Linked DNA regions of Oryctolagus cuniculus. The protein of the gene in region 2 purifies or fractionates together with the protein of the main gene of each other region. This does not show direct contact. Links are inferred from orthologs where the notes say so. Each region holds a gene or a part of one and is shown on either strand. Other genes may lie near its edges.

Region 1 (3,500 bases), on a different chromosome or scaffold from region 2:
TCAGTTCAACAGCACTTTGGAATCTATCTGCCTTATGCTATACCATCTTCACTCATCTAGATCTCTTGCTACCCATATTCTACTCTCTCCTTAGAGAATTTTCATGCCTGCCTAGTCTTTAACAAAATTTATAAACTACATTCTTTGATCATACTTAACAAATTCTGGACTACTTGGAAAGTAAGAAACTTATTCTTAAAATGACCACTACAAAAGAAACCCCAACTGAAAAATATTTACTTGCATTGCTAATAGGAATACTCTCAAGTAAAAGGCAAGTTAGTGAATATGTTAAGAAAAGGACTTGTAGGGCTGGCACTGTAGTATAGTGGGTAAAGTCACTGCCTACAACATCTACATCTCTTATGGGCGCTGCTTCAAGTCCCAGCTGCTCCACTTCCCATTTAGATCCCTGCTAATGCACCTGGCAAAGCAGTGAAGGATGGCCTCAGTGCTTGGGGCCCTGCACTCATGGGAGACTTGCAGGAAGGTCCTGGCTGCTGGCCTTAATCTGCCTCAGCTCTGGCTATTACAGCCACCTGAGTGAAAATAATCTTTAAAAAAAAAAAAAAAAAAAGAGGTTGATAACCTCAGTGAAGTTTCGCTTTCACAGCCTCAAACTATGTTTTATTTACACTAACAAAATATTTTATTCAAACTTCTACAGGATAAATAACTTTGTTACAGCTCTGAATCTCTCTAATCTCAACTTTTCCCCATTAAACTAACTTTGTCTTAGAACAATTTAAGTCAGTCAAGGTTTCTTAGGCACATAGAGTTTCCAAGAAGAAAAGACCATATCCTATCTTTGGAGTCAGTTTCTGTTCAAATGCGCATTCCCATCGCAGAACTTACTGCACTGTCTTTCATAACCAGCCGTTTATGAGATGTCAGCAGCTTTTCCAAAGGGTAAACAACTCGGCGCAGGTAGCTTTCGTCCTTATGGTTGTCATACAGCCACTGAGCATCAAGCACATCGTGCATTGTCACCATGTGGTCCTGAAAAGCAGGTACATAGGAAAAAACTCAGTGTCTTCAGATCTCCAACAGTTCACAGGTCCACAAACAGCAGCGGGCATTTGGCCACATAATTAAGATACCACTTGTGACACTCATATACCATGCATCTCTTCCACTAGTGCAAGCTCATGAAGAACCCTGAGCGTCTTCATACTCACCTCCCTTCTGGACACCTGTAACTGTTTATAGATTCACTTTATGAAAGCACTGCTGTAGGCTGGGAGATAAACGAATAGTGATACTTTCTATCCAGTTCTATCTCCAAACCCCTTTTAGTGTACCAAAGTTTAATTAACAGAACAGGGAAGATGCCCTGAACTGAACTCAACACTTTGGAAGTGGCCTTTCCCAGGGTGTGAAGTAGGCAGAGTTCCACCAGGGGCTGCAAGATACCCAGAACCAGCTCTAAAACTTCTAGCTCCATGAAGACACACCTTTTCACTCATGACTCCAGAACGAACTCTTCGAAGTTCTTGCATCTGACCGCCAACTCCCAATAACAAACCAAGGTGCACACACAGTGTCCGAATGTAGGTGCCAGCCTCGCAACTCACCCAAAATATGCCTAAGACATAAACACAATACAGAGTATTTTCCAGAGTTAGTCTGCTTCTAAGTCATCAAGCCTAGAGATGATATGACCTCACCACATAGTATTTTCAAAGATTACCGTAGAACCTTCCAGAATGAGTTCCTACCCAATGCGGCCTGTGATAACTCAGTTCCTCAAAGACCCAACAACCCACCTAATCTTCTTTCCGGATCATATTCGATCATTTTGCTCTCATAGATGGTCCTCACTCGGAGCTGCCTCTTCACTGCAGCAATAAGTGGGGGTCGCTGGAAGAGGGCACCCGTCAGAGTTTCTAGGGCCTGAGAATAAGCACAAATAGAAACAAGCACTCTCCCTACATGGCCTCTTAAATAAGATGAGAGGGCATATTTGGGGAGCTTAAGGATACAAAACATAAAAGGTTTTCTTCAAAATAACTAAAAAGCCATTTCTTTCCATTTCTGCTTCGTTCTTCAACCCCTGGGACGGCTCAGGGCTGATGGGAAGCAGCTCCTCAGAAGGGATGTGGCTGGATGGGGTAGCCCATTGAAAAGGGCAGGAGCATGGTCAGCCACGAAAGGTGGCTGTTTCCAAAGGCTTCAAGGGCTGAGACCCAACTTCCCTTCCCTAAAGTGAGAGACTTACCCTAGAAAGCTGGGTACCCCCTTCAATAGCATTGTGCAGCCGAACAATTCCCACATACTCTTTGCCTGAAAAATGACAAAAGAGTAGTCAGGTGTGGCCACTCAGTTTTCTGTATTTGTTATATGCTCCATAGCTGCCATCTTGCACAGCAGGAAAAGCAGACATTTTGAAAAGAAAGGAAAGGAATGGAACGACGACATTGGGAGCTCAACATTATTCAGTGTCTTGGTGCAGATTTCACAGAAACATAACGTGAAAGGAACCTGGAACAAGACAAGAGTTGGACTCGGAAAGAATTCTGCCTCAGTGGCATGAACGGAATTTATCAACACATGCCTCTATGAACTCCAAATGTAGACCCACCAAGATCTGGCAGAGGACAGAAGGTACACAGAAACAAAAAGCATATCCATGCTTCAGGGTAGGTTTTTTCCCCTTAATGAAGAAAATTTCCAAGAGGCAAAATGTGGAGGTAAACCTGCCTTCTGTCTTCACATACCTGCACTCTGCTGTGATTTCACCAAGCGAGTGGCTCGTTCTATGCACACGATTAAACAGCCAGTCACCTTGGGATCCAGAGTACCGCTATGTCCTGTCTTCTCCACCCGAAGGATTCGTCGGATCCAGGCTACCACCTCATGGGAAGAGGGGTTGGAGGGCTTGTCAAGATTAATGAAACCTGTCCTAGAATGGACAGAAAATTAATGTACCATTTGCTCTCATGCTGCAATAAAACAACAAACCTGAAGAGTTAAAAAAATTCACCACGCGAACAGGTTATACATTCAAGACAAAGCCACTGTAGGTTTCTATCAACAGTGCTTGCTCCCAACACACTTACCTAATATAGTCCCCAATCTCCCTCTTCAGAGGATTTGAGCCACAAGGAAGAGGTGTATAATGTGTTGTCCTGACATTTAGTTTGTCAAAATTCTAGAAAGCAGCAATACAATACAAAATAGTGTTAATGATAAACCATTTACACATGTAACAGCCAGCACCATCATCAACCATGATATGCTAACATTTCACATTCCTGAATTTGCATTTTTGCTACTGTATTTCCAGTATCTGCTGTGAAACTGTTCTGCTCCTTATACACCACCCAAATTAGTAAGAATCACACTAACTAGAATATTGGTAAGTTGAACTCATTATTCTCTATGAAGAAGACTGGCTTCACTGCAAGATTATGAATAAAACATGCAACAGTTTTGATTTTCTGAGGGACAAAAGTAGCCAAAATGATGATCAAGCCCAACTTTCATCACCAGTTTAGTTT
Region 2 (2,858 bases):
TGAAGCTGGCGGAGACGACCGCGCCCTGCGGGGCTTCTTTTGAGGGTCCAGGAAGGTCTTCCAGGAACAGTGTCAGACAAAAGCCAGGCAAAACTGCCCAGCGCCCCGCCTGGCCGGGCCCAGTTCCCGGCTCACTGATGGCCCCCTGCTGCACAGTGACGGCTCAGCGTCCCAGCAGGGCGGGGCCCGGTGGGAGCGCTGGTGCAGGCTCCACATCCCAGGCAATGCGGGCTCCTGGCCCTCCCCCTCCTCACAGGCTGATGGCTGACGCGTGTGCAGGGGTGGGGCACGGAGGCCACACCCAGGGCACAGGTTCCCGGGACTCATCAGGGCACGGTGCCGGTCAGATGCCAGGGATTTTGCCAGGGCAGCTTGAGGCCACGATCACACAGAGGACGCGCTGCCCAGGCAGCCGGGGCTCAGTGGTTTGTGCGGGGTCGGACAGAGGTCACTGTGCTTCCCTCAGGATTAAGACGTCCACAGCACCCCCGAGAGCTTCCTGGGGCCGGGGCGAGCTGCCTACACCCAGTCACCCACCTGCCTTGCTCCAGGGAAAGGCACGGCTTCCTGTCGGAGCCAGCAGTGCTGGGAGCCCGCAGCCCACGGGGCCCCACGTGACCCCGTGCCAGCTCACCGGGTGATCCCACGGTTGGTGGCCATGATGAGCACAGGCGCCATGTCGCTCTCCAGGGCGCGGTTGAGGAAGGAGAAGCTCTCGATGTCCAGCATGTGGACCTCATCGATGAACAGCACCTGGGGCGCGGGGGCTCGAGTTCAAGGGCACGCCCTCCCGGCCAGGCCCCCCGCCCCTCCCGCCCCGGTGCTCACCCCAGGGATGATCTCCGCCTTGCCCTCCTCCCGCCACTCGGCCACCTTGGCGTTGATCTGCTCGCGGACTTCTGACTTGATCTCCCCGGTGTCACCTGCAGGAGCCAGGGCGGCGTCGGGGAGTCAGGGAGGCGACGAGGCCGAGACCGCAGGGTGGGCACAGAGGAAGCAGATCCCAGCGGCGGCGAGCTGGGTCTCCGCCATGTCCCCAGGCCGGGGGGAGTCGGGGGCTGCCCGGCCTGGACCCTCACCTGAGAAGAGAGCCAGGAAGCCCTGGGTGCGGGAGTTGATGACGTCGATCTCGTGCAGGGACACGGTGTGCACGACCTCCTTGCGTTTCTGGAGCTCCCCATCTGGGCACTGCACGAACTTGGTCTGGGGGGTCAGAGAGTGGTCGTTCAGAAACCCCAGGCCCAGGAGGGGAGGTCAAGCCAAGGGGCACGCAAGGGCACTCAGAGTGAGGGGCAGCGTCCCGGGTTACAAGACCCAGGAGCACAGGGACAGGAGGACCCAGGCCCTGTGGTCACAGAGGCGACAGAACATCCAACGGCCGGGGTCGAGGGTGTCCCCAGCGTCCTGGCGCACCTGGGAGCCCATGGCGTCGTAGTCCCGAGCGCGTGTGAAGGAGCGGCCCAGCTTGGAGATCTTGCCCGTGGCCTTGTCGATGGTGATCACGTCCCTGTGGGTGGGGAGGGAGGGCGGAGGAAGAATGGAGGGGGGTCTGAGTCCCTGCCGCCCAGGCCACCCGGGCCACCCAGGCCACCTGCACAGCCTGCCTGCTCACCCGGCCTGGACCTTGTCCTTGGTCAAGGACTCGATCATCTTGGTGCCCAGGTCGTAGATGGTCTCCATCTCTGTGGTCTTGAGGGTCAGCTTGCCCACCTTGGAGCCCTGTGAGGGGAGATGAGCCAGGAAGGGGCTCAGAGAGGGCCCGGTGCTGCCCAAGGCTCCCCGATGAGCCTGCAGCCCTGTGCCGGCCTCTGCTGACACAGCTCAGAACAGGCGACACGGGGAGTTCCTGGGGGTGAGGGGTCTGTTCCCCGCCACAGCACAGGCCAGCGCCGGCCACGGTGCACACTCTCAGCCTGTGCAGAGTTCTACCTGTCCGTCACAGAGCTGTTCACACTCACACCTCAAAGAGCCTGTTAAGAGAGGGGCCAGCACTGTGGCATAGTGGGTTAAGCCTCCGCCTGTGACACTGGCATCCCTTATTGGTACAGGTTTGAGTCCCAGCTGCTCCACTTCTGATCCAGCTCCCCACTGATGGCCTGGGAAAGCAGTGGAAGATGGTCCCTGTACTCATGTGGGCGACCTGGATGAAGCTCTTGGCTCCTGGCTTCAGCCTGACCAAGCCCCAACCATTGCAGCCATCTGGAGAGTGAACCAGCAGATTAAAGATTCTCTTTCCCTAACACTACCTTTCAAATAATTAAATCTGAAAGGTCCCACAAACTGGCCAGCAGGGTCACACTCCAACGTTCCTCTTTTATACCCATGTTAAAAAATTGGGAAAACCCAGCTAAGCAGAAACAAGGAGACACAACTTCCAGGCCCCACCCTGCGAGACAAGCACAGTTCACGTTTCTCAGTTACATCCCCAGTAGCGGATCCTGACCGGGCCTGCCGGGGGGACACAGCCAGGGATTTCCTGTGTGGCAAAGCATATAACTTAAATAAGTACCTTGGGAAGAGCTTGCCCCCAATTTAAATATTTTACCACATGTTTAAAATTCAAAACTTAGTTGCCAAGAGATGGAACTAATTTAGAAGGCCATTTTTCAATCTATTTGCACTAACAACAAGCAGAAAACAGAAAAACAAGAGGGGCGTCAGGGGAGGGGGGTCAGCCGCATTCTATCAGTGGCTCTGACACACACAGAAGAACCTCCAAAACGCCACACAGAGCGAAAGGAGACGCCGAAGGCCCCCCGCTGGGGTCCCACTGACGTGCAAGGACCAGAACCCACCAGCCAGGGGCTCCGGGGAGGGGACAAGCAGCAGGGCCTGCCTGGTGGGGTCAGGGTTTCCTT
Region 3 (3,092 bases), on a different chromosome or scaffold from region 2:
GGAGCTGTCCCCACCAGGAGCGTGAGCAGTCGCCCAGCGCCCTGATGTGCTGGCCCAGGGGATGACTTAGTGCCCTCCCTGCCTGTCCCGGGTGTCTTGGCACTGTGCAGTCACCGCCCCAGCACTGATGATGGCCCAGCAACGCCACCACGCCCAAGCTCCACCTGCCTGTGTCCTTGGCTCCCAGTGTGGAGTCCGCCATGATAATACGTGGAAGACATTTACTGCGAAGTAGAGGCAAGGGGCGGGAGGGGGGGAGCGTGGGTGCAGACGTTAGAAATGCCCCAGCGTGCACTGGGCTAGGCGGGCTGCTGCCGTCTCGCCCTTTCTTCCGCTCAGCCCCGTGCTTCCCAGTGTCCCCTGGCAGCCTGGCTGCTCCTGCAGGGCAGGAACCCATCTCCTCTCCCAAGGCTGCCCAGTTCCCTGCTTAGTGATGAATTCAGGGGCCGGCGCCATGGCATAGTGGGTAAAGCTGCCGCCTGCAGTCCTGGCATCCCCCGTGGGCGCTGGTTCGAGTCCCGGCTGCTCCACTTCCGATCCAGCTCTCTGCTATGGCCTGAGAAAGCAGCCGAAGATGGCCCAAATGCTTGGGCCCCTGTACCCGTGGGAGACCTGGAAGAAGCTCCTGACTCCTGGCTTTGGATCGGCGCAGCTCCGGCTGATGTGGCCCATTAGGGAGTGAACCAGCGGCTGGAAGACCTCTCTCTCTGCCTCTCCTCTCTCTTTGTAACTCTTTCAAATAAATAAATCTTTTAAAAAAATGATTTCAAGCCGGCGCCGTGGCTCAATAGGCTAATCCTCCACCTTGCGGCGCCGGCACACCGGGTTCTAGCCCCGGTTGGGGCGCCGGATTCTGTCCCGGTTGCCCCTCTTCCAGGCCAGCTCTCTGCTATGGCCAGGGAGTGCAGTGGAGGATAGCCCAGGTGCTTGGGCCCTGCACCCCATGGGAGACCAGGAAAAGCACCTGGATCCTGGCTCCTGCCATCGGATCAGCGCGGTGCGCCAGCTGCAGCGGCGGCCATTGGAGGGTGATCCAACGGCAAAAGGAAGACCTTTCTCTCTCTCTCTCTCTCTCTCTCACTGTCCACTCTGCCTGTCAAAAAATAAAAAAAAAAATAAAATAAAAAAATAAAAAAAATAAAAAAAAATAAAAAATGATTTCAGCCGGCACTGCTCAGTTTTGCGGTGCGACCACCAGGGGGCGGGCTGGCACAGACGGGACACTCGTGGCGCCCTAGCGCTGCAAAGGGGGCGGGGCTTCCGAGTGTGGGCGGAAGTTGCCGAGAGCCCTTGTCAGCCTGGCATGGACTAACGCTCGGAAGGCTCCGCGACGAAGCGGAAGTAACCGAGGAGGCGCCGGAAGTTGGCCCGCGGCGCGCGTGACGTCCGCGGCGCGCATGCGCTGCCAGTTGCCATGGAGCCGGCCGGGCCGTGCGGCTTCTGCCCGGTTGGGGAGACGCGGGCCGCGCGCTACACCTGCCCGCGCTGCAATGCGCCCTACTGCTCGCTGCGCTGCTATCGGGCGCACGGGCCCTGCGCCGAGGACTTCTACCGCGACCAGGTGCTGGGGGAGCTTCGCGGCCGCAGCGCCTCGCCCAGCCGCCTGGCCAGCGCCCTGCGCCGGCTGCGTGAGCAACGCGAGACCGAGGACGAGCCCGAGGTAGCAGGCCTCAGCCCGGGCCCCGCACCCGGCGGACTTTCGGGACTCTGGGAGCGGCTGGCACCTGCCGAGAAAGCGGCCTTCGAGCGGCTGCTGAGCCGCGGCGAGGCCGGGCGGCTGCTGCCTCCCTGGCGGCCGTGGTGGTGGGGGCGCGGGGACGGACCCCGGCTCGTGGAGGCGGTGGGGGACGCCGCGGAGCCCGAGCCGGATCTGGAGCCGGAGCCCGCCCGCCCGCCCGCCGTGCCCGCCCGCATCCCCGCGCTGGCCAGCCTGAGCCGCAGCCCGGCCTCGCCGCTCGTGCGCTTCCAGCTGCCCAACGTGCTGTTCGCCTACGCGCACGCCCTGGCCCTGTACCACGGCGGCGGCGACGACGCGCTGCTCCCCGACTTCTGCGCCACGCTGCTCGGCGTTTCCGGAGCGCTGGGCGCCCAGCGAGTCTTCGCCTCTAGCGAGGAGGCCCTGCAGGCCGCAGCCCACGTCCTGGAAGCCGGCGAGCACCCGCCCGGGCCCCTGGGGACGCGGGGCGCCATGCGAGAGGCCGGCCGCATCCTGCTGGGCCGGGGCCCCGCCGACCCCAAAGGCTACACGCTGGCCGCGCTGGGGCACCTGGCTCGGACCCTCGGCCGTGCCCGGAAACAGACCGCGGCTGGCGAAGACCGAGATCGCCTCTACCGCGCCCGGAAAAAGTGCCAGTACCTGCTGGCCTGGGCCAACGAGAACGAGGCGGCCCTCGGGCCCCTGGCTGTGGACTGCGCCAGGGCGCACGGCGCGCACGCGGCGGCCGCGGAGGAGGTGGCCGCCCTGGCCGGGGAGCTGGAGCGGCTGTGGGGCGGCCCTGTGCCCCCCGCCCCACCTGCCCCAGGGGCTCTCATTGAAGAGCTCCCTGGCTGACCTGGGGGGCTTGGCCTCAATAAAGCGGAGATTGGCCCTGCCCGGAGTGACAGCTCAGTTGTCCCGCCCAGCCCCGGGCTCTCGGGCCCACGGCGTGTCCCAGCCTTGCCCTGCCCCAGAATGGAACGGAAGCGGGCGGCGACTTGGAGCCGTTTATGCAGGGGAGGAGGGGTCTCCGCCGGGGCGCGGGCGCTCAGTAGACGTAGGGCACGATGCGGTGCGGCACGCGCCGGCAGTACTCCAGCCACGCGCGGCCGTACTTCTGCAGGCACTGCCGCTCGTCGCGGGCCTCCCGGTGCACCAGCAGCGCCGTGAAGTAGATGATGTAGAAGTAGGGCAGCAGGTGCGACAGCCCTGCGGGGAGGGGCCGCAAGGGTCTCCACGCTGTCCGGCCGGGCGGGGGAGGCCCAGGGCCAGCGGGGGCCGCCCCTCCGCCGGGGCACTCACCGCAGGGCAGGGACCAGGCCAGGGCCATGAGGAGGTCCCCGAGGTAGTTGGGGTGGCGGACCATCCCCCACCACCCAGACACCAGCAGCCTCCG
Region 4 (4,111 bases), on a different chromosome or scaffold from region 2:
TCTTTTTTAAAAATTATATATTGTATACTACATAAAGAACTCAACGAGGGGCAGGTGTGTGGCCTGGGGTAAGATGCTGGTTAGAACACCTGCATCCTACATCAGAGTACCTGGGCTCAGTCCCTGGCCCTGACCCCTAACTCCAGCTTCCTACTAATGCACATCCTGGAAGGCAGCAGTGATGGCTCAACTGACTGAGTTAATGTCACTCATGTAGAAAGTCTATCACTGGGCCGGCGCCGCCGTGGCTCACTAGGCTAATCCTCCGCCTTGCGGCGCCGGCACACCGGGTTCTAGTCCTGGTCGGGGCGCCGGATTCTGTCCCAGTTGCCCCTCCTCCAGACCAGCTCTCTGCTGTGGCCAGGGAGTGCAGTGGAGGATGGCCCAAGTCCTTGGGCCCTGCACCCCATGGGAGACCAGGAGAAGCACCTGGCTCCTGCCATTGGATCAGCGCGGTGCGCCGGCCGCAGCGCGCCAGCCGCGGCAGCCATTGGAGGGTGAACCATCGGCAAAAGGTAGACCTTTCTCTCTGTCTCTCTCACGGTCCACTCTGCCTGTTAAAAAAAAAAAAAAAATTAAATAAACAGGACAGAGGATCTGATAGGTTCTAAGCATAAGGACATGGAAATGCTAACTGCTTGACTATCAGTTTACACTACATATATGTGTTGAAACACTGCTTGGCACTGCACACAATGTACAAATATTATGTGTTAATCAAAATACTTTTAAATAAAAATACATGACGCCCAGGTTTCTGGTTCCCACAAAAGAGAAGGGTGGTACCATGCTCTAAGACAGACAACCCAGAAGCCGATGGCTTTGGAAGTGCAGATGATGATGGGAGCGGGGGTGCATAAAAAACATGGTGAGCTCAGCCTGGGCAGTGACAATTTACAGAAGCCCAGAGACACTTCAGTTAGAGACGCAGGACATCTGAGCTGGGAATGTGTGCGTATGTATTGAGACGTCATCCACATACACAGTAACTGAAGCCACGGAAAACGCGAACAGCAGGAGTGAATGAGAAGGGACAAAGTCTGATAGGTGTAAGAATCAAGTGACGGTGCTAAGGCTGAGGAGATGGGCTGCCAAAAGGAACTCACCCATGATGCTAAATACCGCAGGGCCTGCCTGAGGCTTACACAGTGCTACCGGCTGTATCAGTGGGAAGGGCATCTTAATGAAGCAGCACTGAGATCAGATTAGAATGTGCTGAAAACCTGAGAGGCCACAAACTCTTCTGAGAACCCCGGTCGCCCATGGAAGGAGAAAGGTCAGATATTCCCAGGAAAGAAACAACTGAGCAGAGTTTAACTTCTTTGCAGGTGCCAAGAGAGATCTGACACTTTCACATGGCAACATCCGAAAGGAGCAGCCTAATTGATGAGGGCGTATCTAACAGACTTCAGAACAGGCAGGAATGGAACATGGACCACTCTTCTCTTCCACAGGTACTTTATACGTTGCTAATGAGAATGTAAATTCGCAGTTAATAGCACAGTGGTCACTTGGCACCATCCTGCAAAATGTTAAATGAATATACCGTTTGACCTGACAATTCTCTATTTAGCGATTTTTTTTTTAATATTTTTTATTTACTTAAAAGGCAGTTCCAGAAAGAGAAAGGGCTTCCATCCGCTGGTTCACTCCCCCAATGGCTGCAGCAGCCGGAGCTGGGCAGGCCCGGGGCCAGGAGCCTCTTACGGGTCTCCCGCGCGGATGCAGGAGCCCAGGCACTGGGCCGTCCTCCACTGCCCTCCCAGGAAAAGACGAGAATGATGCAAATGCCCATCCCTAAGAGACTGGCTGAGTCGCACTACATCTAAACAAGCGAGCAGTGACGATGGACTCCACACACTGGCAGGAAAGCCCACTACATAATACTATGTAAGAAATAGAAATACAGGAGAGCACGAATGGTGCTTTTTGTCTGAAAATCGGGGAACCACACAATCCCATTTACGCTCACTCACACGTACGTAAAGAAACCTTGGAGCAGGAGAATCTGTACCAGCAGCTACCTGCGTGGACGCGGTTCAAACCGGACAGCTGGTGGGTCCGATGAGCCCCGGCGCTGAGACGCTAAGCCTGCGCTTCTGCTTCCTCCGAGAGGCAGCGGAGGCGAGCGGGTGGGATGCCAGGGGGGCTACGGGACTGGGAGCCAGAACACCTCTCTGGCGGCCGCGCGTCCCTCTGGGGCGCAGTCAGTTCCAAGGACACCTTCGAGACAATTCCCCGAGGTTTAGGACTGCACGGAGGAGGGCCACCCGCGGCCGCCGTGCTCCCAGGGCCCAGCACACAACCTAACGGATGGCCAGCGCCACTCCGTCCATCGGTGGCCCGGGGACCCGAGGACCGTCGGGACGCCCCCGAGCCGGAACAACGCCATCTGCCTACGGTTCCGCACGCCACTCCACCACGGGACGAACACAGCCGGCCAGGAGCCTGCACGCGCGCATCCCCCGCGCCGCCACTTCCCGCACGCCCAGCTCGGACCGCGGCCCGGGGGTGGCGGGGGTACACCGCGGGGGTCTCCGGGCGGCGGACGCAAAGCCGTCCAGCTCCCCCATTTTCCCGCCGCGGAGTCTGCGTTGCATGGTCACCTACCCTCGTCCGCGTCGTACATGTTGGCAAACGGTCCAGGAGATCCTAACCCTCAAAAAGAAAAACCACTGAGACAGAAAACCGCGTAGCAGCCGCCACAGGGCCGCAGGCAGAGACGAAGCAACTTCCGGTTCCGGTGTTCCCACAATTCTCTGCGTCCCCGAAGGCCCGCCCCACCGTCGCCGAGGTGGGATCTGCGCCTGCGCCAGTTGAAGCATAGGGCGGGCTGGGCTCGGGGTCGCTCGGGCGCGGCTGAGCCGGGGCGCGACCAGTCCGAGGCGGAGGGGCGGCTCTACAGCTGCTTCACGTTGAACAAACCCCGCCTGAAAAAAATCCAAGTGAATTTGTTAGCGGTTCTGGCCGTGGCGTGAGCTCGCAGGTTTAAGGCTGTATTGTTTGCACTCCAAAGACCAGGAAGCCACAAAACTAAAAGGGATTAAGTGCGACTTGTGCTGGCCGTAGCGCCTTGAGAAAGCTTGAAGAAAGATTTATTTATTTATTTGAGAGGCAGATTTACAACGAGGCAGAGAGGTCCTCCGACCGCTAGTTCACTCCCCCAGGTGGCCGCAACAACCGCGGAGCTGAAGCCAGGAACTTCCTCCCGGTCCCCGACGTGGGTGCAGGGGCCTCAAGGACTTGGGCCATCTTCTGCTGCCTTCCCGAGGCCCCAGCAGAGAGCCGGGTTGCAAGTGCAGCAGCCGGGACTCGAACCTGTGCCCTCAAGGGAGGCTGATACCGCGGCTTTCCCGCTACGCTTTCATCGCGATAACTCGCGGGATCTCGAGGTGGAAGGAAGCCGCACCTCCGGGGTTTGGGGCAGAACGGGCGCCTGGGGCCCCACTGCGCGTGCTCGGTGGTGGCTCCGCCCCCTCGCGGCGGGCCGCGATCCCCATGCTGCCCGCACGCCTAGCGGGGAGGCTGCTGGGCCCCGTGGTGCGGTGGTCCGCGCCTGCGGTGCGGCTGCTGCGGACGGGATGCGCGGCCGCCGCCGCCTCCCAGCCCCCGTCGGGCCTGCGGCGGGCGCTCCCTCAAGGCCCCGCCGCGCCCGGGGACGACACCGAGGAGCGTTTCCTGTTCCCCGAGTACACCCCGGAGCCGGAGCCCCCGCCGACGCCTGAGGAGCTGCTGCGGGCGCTGCGGGAGCGGGAGCAGGAGCAGGAGGAGCAGGCGCGGCGCCGGGCGGAGCGGCGGCAGGCGCGGGCCAGCCTCCGCGCGCCCCCGGCCGCGGGCCGCCCGGACCCGGCGGTGCCGCCCAGCGGCCTGCCCTGCTCGGGCTGCGGGGCGGAGCTCCACTGCCGGGACCCCGGCGTGCCCGGCTACCTGCCCAGCGAGAAGTTCGCCCGCGCCGCGCAGGACGGCCAGCTGGCGCGCGCCGTGTGCCAGCGCTGCTGGCTGCTGGTGCACCACCGGCGCGCCCTGCGGCTGCGCGTGAGCCGCGCGCAGTACCTGCAGCAGGTGAGCGCGGCGCTGCGGCGGCCCGGGCCCGCGCTGGTGCTCTACCTGC
Region 5 (3,500 bases), on a different chromosome or scaffold from region 2:
ATTTTATTTGGGGAAAAACCCACAGGGGCAGTGATTTCAGGATCTGGATCCGGGTGCTCAGATGTCCTCAGAGATTTGCTGCCTTGGACCTGCTAGCTCTGCTTTCCTCAGTGTTGGCTTATCTAGAGCAGATCAAGATTTTCCTGGTTGGCAGGTGGGCTGGTTATCAGCAGCTCCAGGACTGTGCCCGGTCACTGATCAGAAAGAACAGCTGCTGGGGCCCACGGTGTTGTGCGGCAGGTTAAGCTGCTGATAGTGATGATACCTACATCCTGTATCTGGGTGCCGGTGCAAGTCCTGGCAGAGTTCAGGCCACTCTGCTTCCAATGCAGCTTCCTGTCGATGCACCTGGGAAGGTGCTGGGAGATGGCCCAAGTACTCCACATGGGAGACTCGGATGGAGTTCCTGGCCCAGACCTGGGCTGCTGCGGCCATCTGGGGAGTGCACTAGCAGATAGAAAGATGTCTCTCTCTCTCTGTAACTCTGCCTTTCAAATAAATAAATAAATCTCTATTTTTAATTAAAAAAATGAGAAGTCATGTTATGTTATCAGAAGAAGGGGAGAGATGGGGCCAGGCAGAAACAGCCACTACTTCATTAACTGAGCAGTGGTCACTCAACGGTAGGAAAGTGGAATTGGGATTTTGTTAGTGCTCCATTCTCACCAGAAGGCCCCAGAGCTGGTGTACTTATCTGTTAAGTCATGCTTCCTCCTGATTCTGTACATATTTCATGATTGCCAGCCTTCTAGGAGTGTGCAGTTTATGAGAAACAAAAGAACAGTGGGGAAATAATTACACAATTTTATAGTCCTATTGCTTTGAGAGGAGAGAGAGACAAGGAGGGAGGGAGGTCTTCCATCTGCTGGTTCATTGTGCCTGCCACAATGCTGCTCCCAAAGATGGAGATTTTCAAAATGGAAGAAACTTGAAAGATTGATTATTTTTATTAACTATTCAATTGAAAACTTTTCCAGAGAATCCTGGATTTTAGAATTTAATAACATATGGCCGGCGCCGTGGCTCACTTGGCTAATCCTCCACCTGCAGCACCAGCACTCCAGGTTCTAGTCCCAGTTGAGGTGCCGGATTCTGTCCCGGTTGCTCCTCTTCCAGTCTAGCTCTCTGCTGTGGCCCGGGAGGGCAGTGGAGGATGGCCCAAGTGCTTGGGCCCTGCACCTGCATGGGAGACCAGGAGGAAGCATCTGGCTCCTGGCTTCAGATCGGCGCAGCACTGGCCGTAGTGGCCATTTGGGGGGTGAACCAACGGAAGGAAGACCTTTCTCTCTGTCTCTCTCTCTCTCTGTGTAACTCTGCCTGTCCAAAAAAAAAAAAAAAAAAAAAAATTTAATAACATAAGCATTGCTATATTGTATTTTCTTCCCATAGTGTTGGAGCAAGTCCAGAGCTTTCTCCCGCAGATGGCCCAGGCAAATGAAAAGCTAAGAAAAGAAATGGCAGCTGCACCACCTGGTCGTTTCAACATTGAAAATATTGATGGGACTCTGGGAAAAGTTATACAAATGGTAACTATGTGTCATTTTCATCTCATACAGGTCTCCTAAAAACAAGGGAGAGATTTTCCATTTTATTTCCAAGTGTTGGTTTTTCTTTTTGTTGGAGTCTGAAATCCTCCATCTGCTAGTTCACTCCCCAAATGGCCACAGTGTCTGGGGCTGGGCCATGCAGGCTCGGGGAACCTGAAACTCTGGTCAGGTCTCCCACTTCGGTGGAGGGGCCCAAGCACTTGAGCCATCGTCTGCTGCTTTCCCAGGTGCATTAATAGGGAGCTGGATCGGAAGTGGAGCAGCTGGGACTGGAACCAGCACCCCTATGGGATGCTGATGTTGTAGGCCTAACATTCTGCACCACAGTGCTGGCCCCATGTTGTTATTATTTTAACTTCAGGGGCAGAGGGGTGAGGAGGGATAAGGGGGACAGGACAGAGGACTTCCATCTGCTAGTTCATTCCCTGAATACCCACAACATCCAGGACTGCACCATGCTGGAGCCAGGAACTCATTCCAGGTCTCCCATTTGAGTGGCAGAGACCCAACTACTTAAGTTATCACCTGCTGCTTCCCAGGGTTTGTATTAGCAGAAAACTGGGGTGGTGGACTGGAGCCAGGATCCAAACCCAGGTACCCTGAAATGGAATGCAGGCATCTCAGACACTGGTGAGGCCAAGTGCTCACTCTATATTTCTTATCATGAAGCACTGATTTACTAAATGTCCTAACTGAATTTAGTTATTTTTTTTTTTAACGAAAAGAGATGATCATAGTCTGATTCATTGTGCAAAAACAATGTGTCTAAGGGAACAATAAACCATGGTTAAAATTGTCACTCAGTTTCTACTGATATCTTCTTTTTATACTGGAATTCCTTTTTTTTTTTTTTTTTTTAAGATTTTATTTATTTGAGAGGCAGAGTTACAGAAAGAGAGAGGGAGAGACAGAGAGAAAGGTCTTCCGCCTGCTGGTTCACTCCCCAAATGGCAGGAGTTGAGCCAGGCCAAAGCCAGGAGCCAGGTGTGTCTCCCTGGGCTCCCATGTGGGTGCAGGGGCCCAAGGACTTGGGCCATCCTCCACTGCTTTCCTAGGCCATAAACAGAGAGCTGGGTCGGAAGAGGAGCAGGCAGGACATGAACTGGAGCCCATATGGGATGCCGGCACCGCACTCAGAGGCTTAGCCTCGTGAGCCACAGCGCTGGCCCCGGGGCATCCCTTTCTAACACTTGTGTCTGGATGGACAGAGCCGACATCATTGTCAGTAAGCTCATTCATCAGCTCTATCTGCAGAATAAGTCCCAAATCCGACCACTGCGCACAGGCTCCATGGCCGGGTCCCTTGGCCCGAGTGATTACAGTCTCTCCTTTGGACTGTTCCAACAGTTTCCTGACGGGGCTTCCTGCGTTGTCCACTTCCTCCCTGGCGCCTGTTCTCACAGCCTGTGTGCACAGCCTGGGGCTTCCCGTCACATGATGATGAGTTGGAACTCATCACCCCTTCCGAGGGCTCTCACGATGCTGCTTTCCGTGCTCGCCCTGGCCTTGCCTCCTTCCCAGTGTCCCCGCCGACTGCGGCCGTTTTCCCTCCTGCTTTCTGGTGTTGCTGAATGCGTTCGCCCTCGCTGCTGATCGAGACTCTCTGTTCCCTTGGCCTCATCAAGAGGCCTTCCCTCCTGGCCCTGCCAGGGTCTTCCCCTGCTCTGTTTTCTCTGTACTTCTCACACTACACTGTGCTTTACAGGGATATTTCAGTTTGTGGAAAAGCAGAATTAGAAGACGAGTTTACTTTGGTGTAAAAAATTTTTTGTCTTTGATTGGTTGATTTATTTGAAAGGCGGAGTGACAAGGAGAAGGAGAGACAGAGAAAGATCTTCCATCTGCAACAGCCAGGGCTGGGCCAGCCCGAAGCCAGGAGCCCAGAGCTCTGTCTTGTTCTAGGTGGATGGCAGGGACCCAAGTACTTGGGCCATCATCCACTGCCTTCCCAGG
Region 6 (3,500 bases), on a different chromosome or scaffold from region 2:
TTTTAGTTAATGTTATTTTGTAATTTTTTTGACTTCTAAAGGGAGAAAAATTTGCCAAGTAATTGGTTTAGAATTCATACAGCATTAGGCTGGAAATGGTTACTATAAATAGATAGGAATCAGTGACTTGGAGCTATTAATCTGACTTTAAAAAATTGTTCAAATATTCTTAAATAATCAACTTGATTAAAACATTTTTTAGGGCTACTTGGTGAATTGGGATGTTCAAAGACAAGTTTGGGATTACCTTTTTGGGAAAGAAATGTATCAGGTAACAAATTAGAGTATGTATTCAAATTCTATTTTCATGTGTTACTTGAATGAAAAGTTAGAGCATTTATTTTAATATTTATAAACTTGCAAATACATTTTCAGTACATATTTGAGTTACTTAAATATAGCTTTGCCCAGCTTTGATTTTCTAAACATTTAATACATGCAAATTAATAGAATTTATTTTGAAGTGGATGGAGGTTGAGTGGAGATAGTCCATATGAAACTCAAGGTTAAATTTTACTTGACATTTCATTAGATAATCTCACTACGTAATTTTCATTTTATCAAGCAAATGTTTTTGCTTACATTGAGTGGGTAAATATTATAAGACAACTTCTTACTTTTAGAGTCAATAGTGTGATTATAGCTATACTAAGAATGTTCATGTTTAAATTCTTCAAGAATATATGGGAGAGAATTATGTAAACTTTAAATATATTGAATCTTGCCTTTTTCTTTTTAAACAAAATTACAGCCTCAATACTTGCAGCGGTATTAATTACTTTTATATATGTATCTTTAAACAGTTTGACACTACCATTTAATTATTGCTACTAATAAGAAAGGTAAAGTTGCATAATACTCATTAACTACATAGATTCTTTAAGCTAAGATCACTAAGTAGCTACATGAACTTTGGTGGCTTTTCTGTGTCTTGGGTTGTTTAATTTAATAAATATATTTATTTGAATAAATAATGTATATATATAAATTATAAATGTATGCCCACTTAATAAAACTGTCATAGTAATAAGACATTAGGGTTATTGTTAGGCCTAAGTAATTTTATTTCTATGAAGCAAGTGTTGATGATAATCACTAGAAATTATAAAAGTTTTTTTATTTTTCTGTCTCATAGGTTGATTTTTTAGATACTAACATTATTATCACAGAACCATATTTTAACTTCACTTCAATTCAAGAATCAATGAATGAAATTCTATTTGAAGAATACCAGTTTCAAGCAGTATTGAGAGTAAATGGTGAGTTAAAGTTTACATTGAAATTGAATTAACATGGATATGAGTATGAATAGCGTAAAGAAACTCTTAAAATCCCATAATACAAAGGCAATAAAACAGAATTTTAAAACTTGATGTACTCATGGGGCCAGTGCTGTGGTGTAGTAGATTAATCCTCTACCTGTGGCACCAGCATCCCATATGGGCACTGGTTCTAGTCCTGCTATTCCTCTTCCAATCCAGCTCTCTGCTATGGCCTGGGATAGCAGTAGAAGATGGCCCAAGAGCTTGGGTCCCTGCACCCATGTGGGAGACCTGGAGGAAGATCGTGGCTCCTGGCTTCAAATTGGCCTAACTCCGACCATTGTGGCCATTTGGGGAGTGAACCAGCAGATAGAAGATCTCTCTCTCTAATTACATGGAGAATGCCTTCTATGGAAAAACTACACATGGATTTCTTTTTTTTGTGTGTGTGTGTACCAAAATAAACTTACCTTTTAATTCCATTTTCCATGAACTTTTTAAAGTGCTCTCATGATATTTCTCTCCAGTGAAATTACTGGCCATGTTTCTAATTTCTGAAAGACTTTTCTGAGGTAGTTATCCTTTTTATCATTGATGTGCTTGTTATTATTATTGGTTAAAATAATTTTAAGAGCTCAGTCTGCCAATATGAGGGAAAACAATCTGTAAATGTCATTTAATAGCAAGTTTTATTACAGAATTACATGATTGTATACAGTTAAAACATTCCAATACAAGGAGACTTCAAAGTGATCCTGGAAAATGGAATTAAAAGATAAGGCTCTTTTGGTACAAAACTTTTAAAAGACCATGCATATGAAGGGTCTTCAAAGAGTTAGTGAAAAAATGTATGTTACAGAAAAAAAACTGCCTGATATTTAGCTTACAGATTTTTAAGTATTTCAAGTTCTCTATGCTGTTTACAAAAGTGACTTGTGCTAGTTAAGAGCATAACCTCAAGAAATGTTCTGAAGCAAGGATGATTTTGTTTCCAGGGGACGTTTGGCAATGTCTGGAGACATTTTTGGTTGTCACAGCTGTAATTGTGCTGTAAGCTTCTAGTAAAGGTCACAGATGCTGCTAAATGTCCTATAATACACCAGGACAGTCCCCAACAACAAAGGGTTAACGATCTGATTCAAACTGTCAATGGTTCTGAGGTTGGGAAAACCTGCTGGAAAGCCATACTGCCTAGGTCTGAATCTTGGCTCTGCTACTTTCCCATGACATGATTTTGGGCATATTACTGAACTTCTCTGTGCCTTGGGTTCCTCTTCGTCTGTAAACAGGACTTTTCGTGAGTATTAGAAGAAACAAGTTATGTAGAGTTTAGAATAGAGCCTGAGATATAAATTGCTAATTAAAAAATAGCTTTTTTTGTAATAATTATCATAAGTTTAGAAATGAGGGGCCGGTGCTATGGCACAGTAGGTTAAAGCCCCAGCCTGTAGTGCCGGCATCCCATATATCCCATATGGGTGCCAGTTTGAGTCCTGGCTACTCTACTTCTGATCCAGCTCCCTGCTAATGCACCTGGGAAAGCAGCAGAGGATGGCCCAAGTCCTTGGGCCCCTGTACCCAACATGGGAGATTTGGAAGAAGTTCGTGGCTCCTGTTTGGATCGGCTCAGCTTCAGCCATTGCTGCCTCTCTCTCTCCTTCTCCACCCTCCCCCCCACCGTCTCTACCTTTCTTTGTATATCTTTCAAATAAATAAAAATTTTTAAAAAGATATGAATATTTACTCTTAAAACATGACCAACCAGTGTTTCTTTTTGTATTCCATGCATTATCTGTGATGTTTTGAAGTTTCAGCATTAGAAATACCATGTATCAATTATGAATACCATAAATTAACATTTTTAGTTTGTTCCATCTATTGCTTTAAATTTCTGTTTCCCTTTTGTTTAATGAGTTCTTTTTCTTTTTTCAATCTTTTTGTGAATAGCTGGGGCTCTCAGTGCACACAGGTATTTCCGAGACAATCCTTCTGAATTATGCTGCATCATTGTAGATAGTGGATACTCCTTTACTCACATAGTTCCTTATTGTAGAAGTAAAAAGAAAAAAGAAGCAATTATTCGGTGAGTGCATTTAATTTTTCATTATTTCTTATTTCATATTATTTCTTAGGATGAAATGTGTGATAACTGAGCCAAATTTGAATTCTCCCTTTTTAGGATAAATGTGGGAGGAAAACTCTTAACCAATCATCTAAAGGAGATCATATCTTACAGGT
Region 7 (3,500 bases), on a different chromosome or scaffold from region 2:
GATATAACAATTGATAAATGCTGGTCTGGCAATGATGACAAAGAATAACTTCAAATAGTCTCAATAAAGAAAGCTTTAATTTTAGTTTGATACTTGCCACTATGACGCAGGATTTGCTAAGGTTAATGACAACTAAGCTTTATTTATCTTTATTCTCTAGGGAAGCAGAAGGAATACTGGAAAGTGATGTACTTTGGTATCAGACCTGGATTCAAACCTTGAAGGTGCCACTTACTAGCTCCAACACAGAAGTCACGCAGAGGTAAAACCAACTTCAAAGGACTATTGTGAAGATTAATGAGTCAATATGTATATAAAAACACTTAGCAAAGCACTTGGCAAATAATTAGAACTAAATGAATGTTAATTACTTTTTTCCTTAACCAACTGTATTCAGACAACTGCAGAAATCAATATTACCATACTTGCTTTTCCACAGAGGATATTCACCTTAGTTTTACATTCTTGGACTTTGTGATGGTTTCCATTATGAAGAGTTGCTGGAGTGGCATATAACTCTTTTTCTGACCTGCTGATTTTCACTTCATTAAGGATTTCACCACCATAGTCTCCTAAATGATATCTTAAAAAGTAAAAATAAAAATAAAAATACAAAGTTGCATACTTTAACAATAATGGAAAAAAAGATATCTCAATTAGAACACACCTAAACAAATACAGCTAAACATTAATTAGATTTTTAAAAGAGAAAATGTGTGAGAGTAAAGCAACATAGATTTGGGATTCAGTAAAAAAAAAAAAATAAACAACTTTAAAAAATGCGTAAGGTACAGAGAAAATGAATTTGACACATATTTTATATTACCAAGTATTGAGAAATGATGTTTAGATTACTTGCTTAGGGAATCACACAAAATTCTGTTAGATCTGGTTTAGTGTTTTTTTAATTATGAAGGAAAATGCCATTAGAAAACACATCCCGAGAAGAGCTGAAACAAAAAACTTTGTCCACTTAGTCAGAAAACAAAAATCAAACCTTCATTTACTTGAAGTTTTCTTTAATAGAAATTTTTAATAGAGAGAACTGAACAACAGAATCTCTAAGTTCTTTTCTAAATAAAATTCAGTGATTCTTCCAAAAAGCAAAAATACTTAAGTGCATTAGAGGATCTATACAATATGCAAAAGTATTTCAAATTAAAAATTTCATCTGGCAAAAAAAAATCAGTGCCACAAGTCTTTAAAAAATTTTAAGTTGTTAGAGAATCAATATTAATTATCATAAAGCTTAGCCAAAATAAACTTTTAAAAAAAAGATCTTTTGGTTATATTTTGCCCATCATTTGGTTAAAGCTCCTACTAGTATGTAATAGTAGCAATGTTACCTTTTCTCCACAACTTCTAAGGTTAAGTGCAACAATTCTCGTTTTGTTTTCTCTCTTCTCTTAATCATTTCCAAAATTGTTATGGCTCTACTGAACTCTCGTCTCAGTTTCAACATCTTTTCATAAGAGGCTTCATCGTTCTTACGATTCTATTAAAAACAATAATTTTAGAATAAACAACCCATTTATCCATATTTCTAGCTCCGTTCAACAAAATCTTATCCAAACCAAATCTATCCAATAAGGACGAAATGTTAAAAGCAGCAACATTAGAAAATCATCTAACAGCAACTATATAAGAGAACCTACTTAACTCTGAAAACAGAAGTACAAGCAAGTAACTTTTTTTTTTTTTGACAGGCAGAGTTAGACAGTCAGAGAGACAGAGAGAAAGGTCTTCCTTCTGTTGGTTCACTCCCCAAATGGCTGCTATTTGGGGTGTGCTGAGTCGATCCGAAGTCAGGAGCCAGGTGCTTCCTCCTGGTCTCCCATGTGGGTGCAGGGCCCAAACACTTGGGCCATCCTACACTGCCTTCCCGGGCCACAGCAGAGAGTTGGACTGGAAGAGGAGCAACCAGGACAGAATTCAGCACCCCAACTGGGACTAGAATCCGGGGTGCCGGCGCCGCAGGCAGAGGATTAGCCAATTGAGCCGCAGCACTGGCCAATCAAGTAACTTATGATAAATATTCAGAATACTACCACTTCACCAGCTGTTGAGAAGATGCAATGGCATGGAAAAGATAATTCTAATGGAAAGGTGTTAAAAAAATTTACCTGAAAAAAATCTACTACATCAGAACGACAGAGGTCAATGTACCCGAAAATAGCCAAAATCCTCCCTTTATCCAGCTCTGCAACTGGGCAATGTAAGGTTAAACATTCTACAATGTAAACATGAGCAATGCAAAGCCTTACTTCAGAAATTGACCTAAAAACTGAAAGTAGGTTATCAAGCATCTCAAGATATGGGATTATCAGGCTTCAACATAATAATACATCACTGCAGAGTAGAAAAGACATTTAGTTAAAATTATGAATTTCAGAATAATGTTAAGCAGTTCTTATTCTCAAGCATAAGAAATAACTTCAGGGGCCGGCACTGTGGCACAGTGGGTTAACGCCCTGGCCTGAAGCACAGGCATCCCACATGGGCACTGGTTCAAAACCCGGCTGCCCTGGCCTGAAACACCGGCATCCCATGTGGGCGCCGGTTCGAGACTCAGCTGCTCTGGCCTGAAGCACCGGCATCCCATATGGGTGCCGGTTTGAGACCCAGCTGCTCCATTTCTGATCCAGCTCTCTGCTATGGCCTGGGAAAGCAGTGGAAGATGGCCCAACTCCTTGGCCCCTGCACCCACATGGGAGACCCAGAACAATCTCCTGTCTCCTGGCTTTGGATCAGCACAGCTCCAGCCATTGCGGCCAATTTGGGAGTGAACCATCAGATGGAAGACCTCTCTCTCTACCTCTCCTCTCTCTGTGTAACTCTGACTTTCAAATAAATAAATAAATCTTTAAAAAAAAAAAAAGAACTTCAACTAACTGTAAGTGAAAGCCTATTAATTGAAGGTTCAGCTGTAATTAGCAGCATCCATATGACTATAAAAATTACTATTAATACAAACTATCTTTTTTAAAATCAAACATCTGCGAGTACTTAACAATATAGCAGGCACAGAACTACTGGTTCAAAAACAGACCACTACCACACCTCAATTTATGTGCTCAGACGTTCATTTAAACAATCCTTCTGTCTTTGAGTTAATAATTTAATATGGCATTAAAAAGAACCTGAAGAATGCCAGAGGTTTACATTGGAGGCTACAAAGGAGAAATACTGAGGAAAAACTTCGTTTTGCGTTTTTTTCTTTTGTGTATCTTACATTTGAAAAAAATCATCTACTGAAGATAAACTAAATAAAGTCCCTCATGGTACTACATACAGAATATTTTAAAATGCTAACTTAATAAGTCATCCTTTTATCAAACCAAAAGCAAATTCGTCTGACCCCCTCCCACTCAGTACTATGTGGCATCAAGCAAAACTGAAAGTTTAGTTGTAAGCAATCTGATTTTGATAAACAGGCAGCAACAGCACTTTCCAATCTAAGACAATTTCACATCAACACAGCAAATATTAAAGTGGCTACT

What was found.
Region 1: the proteins of RUVBL2 (region 2) and DKC1 purify together in Homo sapiens (affinity purification with mass spectrometry; 5 studies listed by BioGRID and IntAct, counting the BioPlex papers as one, with this or other methods). This does not show direct contact. The link is inferred for Oryctolagus cuniculus from reciprocal best matches to the Homo sapiens genes RUVBL2 and DKC1.
Region 3: the proteins of RUVBL2 (region 2) and ZNHIT2 purify together in Homo sapiens (affinity purification with mass spectrometry; 5 studies listed by BioGRID and IntAct, counting the BioPlex papers as one, with this or other methods). This does not show direct contact. The link is inferred for Oryctolagus cuniculus from reciprocal best matches to the Homo sapiens genes RUVBL2 and ZNHIT2.
Region 4: the proteins of RUVBL2 (region 2) and POLR2B purify together in Homo sapiens (affinity purification with mass spectrometry; 3 studies listed by BioGRID and IntAct, with this or other methods). This does not show direct contact. The link is inferred for Oryctolagus cuniculus from reciprocal best matches to the Homo sapiens genes RUVBL2 and POLR2B.
Region 5: the proteins of RUVBL2 (region 2) and NOPCHAP1 purify together in Homo sapiens (affinity purification with mass spectrometry; 4 studies listed by BioGRID and IntAct, with this or other methods). This does not show direct contact. The link is inferred for Oryctolagus cuniculus from reciprocal best matches to the Homo sapiens genes RUVBL2 and NOPCHAP1.
Region 6: the proteins of RUVBL2 (region 2) and ACTR6 purify together in Homo sapiens (co-immunoprecipitation; 7 studies listed by BioGRID and IntAct, counting the BioPlex papers as one, with this or other methods). This does not show direct contact. The link is inferred for Oryctolagus cuniculus from reciprocal best matches to the Homo sapiens genes RUVBL2 and ACTR6.
Region 7: the proteins of RUVBL2 (region 2) and EPC2 purify together in Homo sapiens (co-immunoprecipitation; 4 studies listed by BioGRID and IntAct, counting the BioPlex papers as one, with this or other methods). This does not show direct contact. The link is inferred for Oryctolagus cuniculus from reciprocal best matches to the Homo sapiens genes RUVBL2 and EPC2.

Annotation. Positions count from the first base shown.
Region 1 is NC_091453.1:133,384,611-133,388,110, reverse strand, and holds part of DKC1 (H/ACA ribonucleoprotein complex subunit DKC1), read right to left. Parts: intron 3,152-3,500; coding exon 3,060-3,151; intron 2,903-3,059; coding exon 2,718-2,902; intron 2,284-2,717; coding exon 2,219-2,283; intron 1,894-2,218; coding exon 1,767-1,893; intron 1,586-1,766; coding exon 1,455-1,585; intron 1,359-1,454; exon of another isoform or gene 1,229-1,358; intron 1,000-1,228; coding exon 856-999; intron 1-855.
Region 2 is NC_091449.1:8,259,068-8,261,925, forward strand, and holds part of RUVBL2 (ruvB-like 2), read right to left. Parts: intron 1,720-2,858; coding exon 1,613-1,719; intron 1,508-1,612; coding exon 1,414-1,507; intron 1,204-1,413; coding exon 1,080-1,203; intron 924-1,079; coding exon 829-923; intron 754-828; coding exon 635-753; intron 1-634. UniProt on the Homo sapiens protein: Possesses single-stranded DNA-stimulated ATPase and ATP-dependent DNA helicase (5' to 3') activity; hexamerization is thought to be critical for ATP hydrolysis and adjacent subunits in the ring-like structure contribute to the ATPase activity.
Region 3 is NC_091432.1:6,442,677-6,445,768, forward strand, and holds ZNHIT2 (zinc finger HIT domain-containing protein 2), read left to right. Parts: upstream 1-1,380; 5' UTR 1,381-1,414; coding exon 1,415-2,551; 3' UTR 2,552-2,592; downstream 2,593-3,092. Other genes in the region: delta(14)-sterol reductase TM7SF2, read right to left, coding at 2,745-2,905, 2,999-3,092. UniProt on the Homo sapiens protein: May act as a bridging factor mediating the interaction between the R2TP/Prefoldin-like (R2TP/PFDL) complex and U5 small nuclear ribonucleoprotein (U5 snRNP).
Region 4 is NC_091439.1:107,684,745-107,688,855, forward strand, and holds the start of POLR2B (DNA-directed RNA polymerase II subunit RPB2), read right to left. Parts: upstream 2,801-4,111; 5' UTR 2,630-2,800; coding exon 2,611-2,629; intron 2,224-2,610; exon of another isoform or gene 2,025-2,223; intron 1-2,024. Other genes in the region: NOA1 (nitric oxide-associated protein 1), read left to right, coding at 3,499-4,111. UniProt on the Homo sapiens protein: Catalytic core component of RNA polymerase II (Pol II), a DNA-dependent RNA polymerase which synthesizes mRNA precursors and many functional non-coding RNAs using the four ribonucleoside triphosphates as substrates.
Region 5 is NC_091442.1:107,698,928-107,702,427, forward strand, and holds part of NOPCHAP1 (NOP protein chaperone 1), read left to right. Parts: intron 1-1,389; coding exon 1,390-1,526; intron 1,527-3,500. UniProt on the Homo sapiens protein: Client-loading PAQosome/R2TP complex cofactor that selects NOP58 to promote box C/D small nucleolar ribonucleoprotein (snoRNP) assembly. Acts as a bridge between NOP58 and the R2TP complex via RUVBL1:RUVBL2.
Region 6 is NC_091442.1:103,127,366-103,130,865, forward strand, and holds part of ACTR6 (actin-related protein 6), read left to right. Parts: intron 1-202; coding exon 203-271; intron 272-1,135; coding exon 1,136-1,259; intron 1,260-3,209; coding exon 3,210-3,345; intron 3,346-3,441; coding exon 3,442-3,498; intron 3,499-3,500. UniProt on the Homo sapiens protein: Required for formation and/or maintenance of proper nucleolar structure and function. Plays a dual role in the regulation of ribosomal DNA (rDNA) transcription.
Region 7 is NC_091434.1:93,465,265-93,468,764, forward strand, and holds part of EPC2 (enhancer of polycomb homolog 2), read right to left. Parts: intron 1,496-3,500; coding exon 1,347-1,495; intron 584-1,346; coding exon 451-583; intron 1-450. UniProt on the Homo sapiens protein: May play a role in transcription or DNA repair.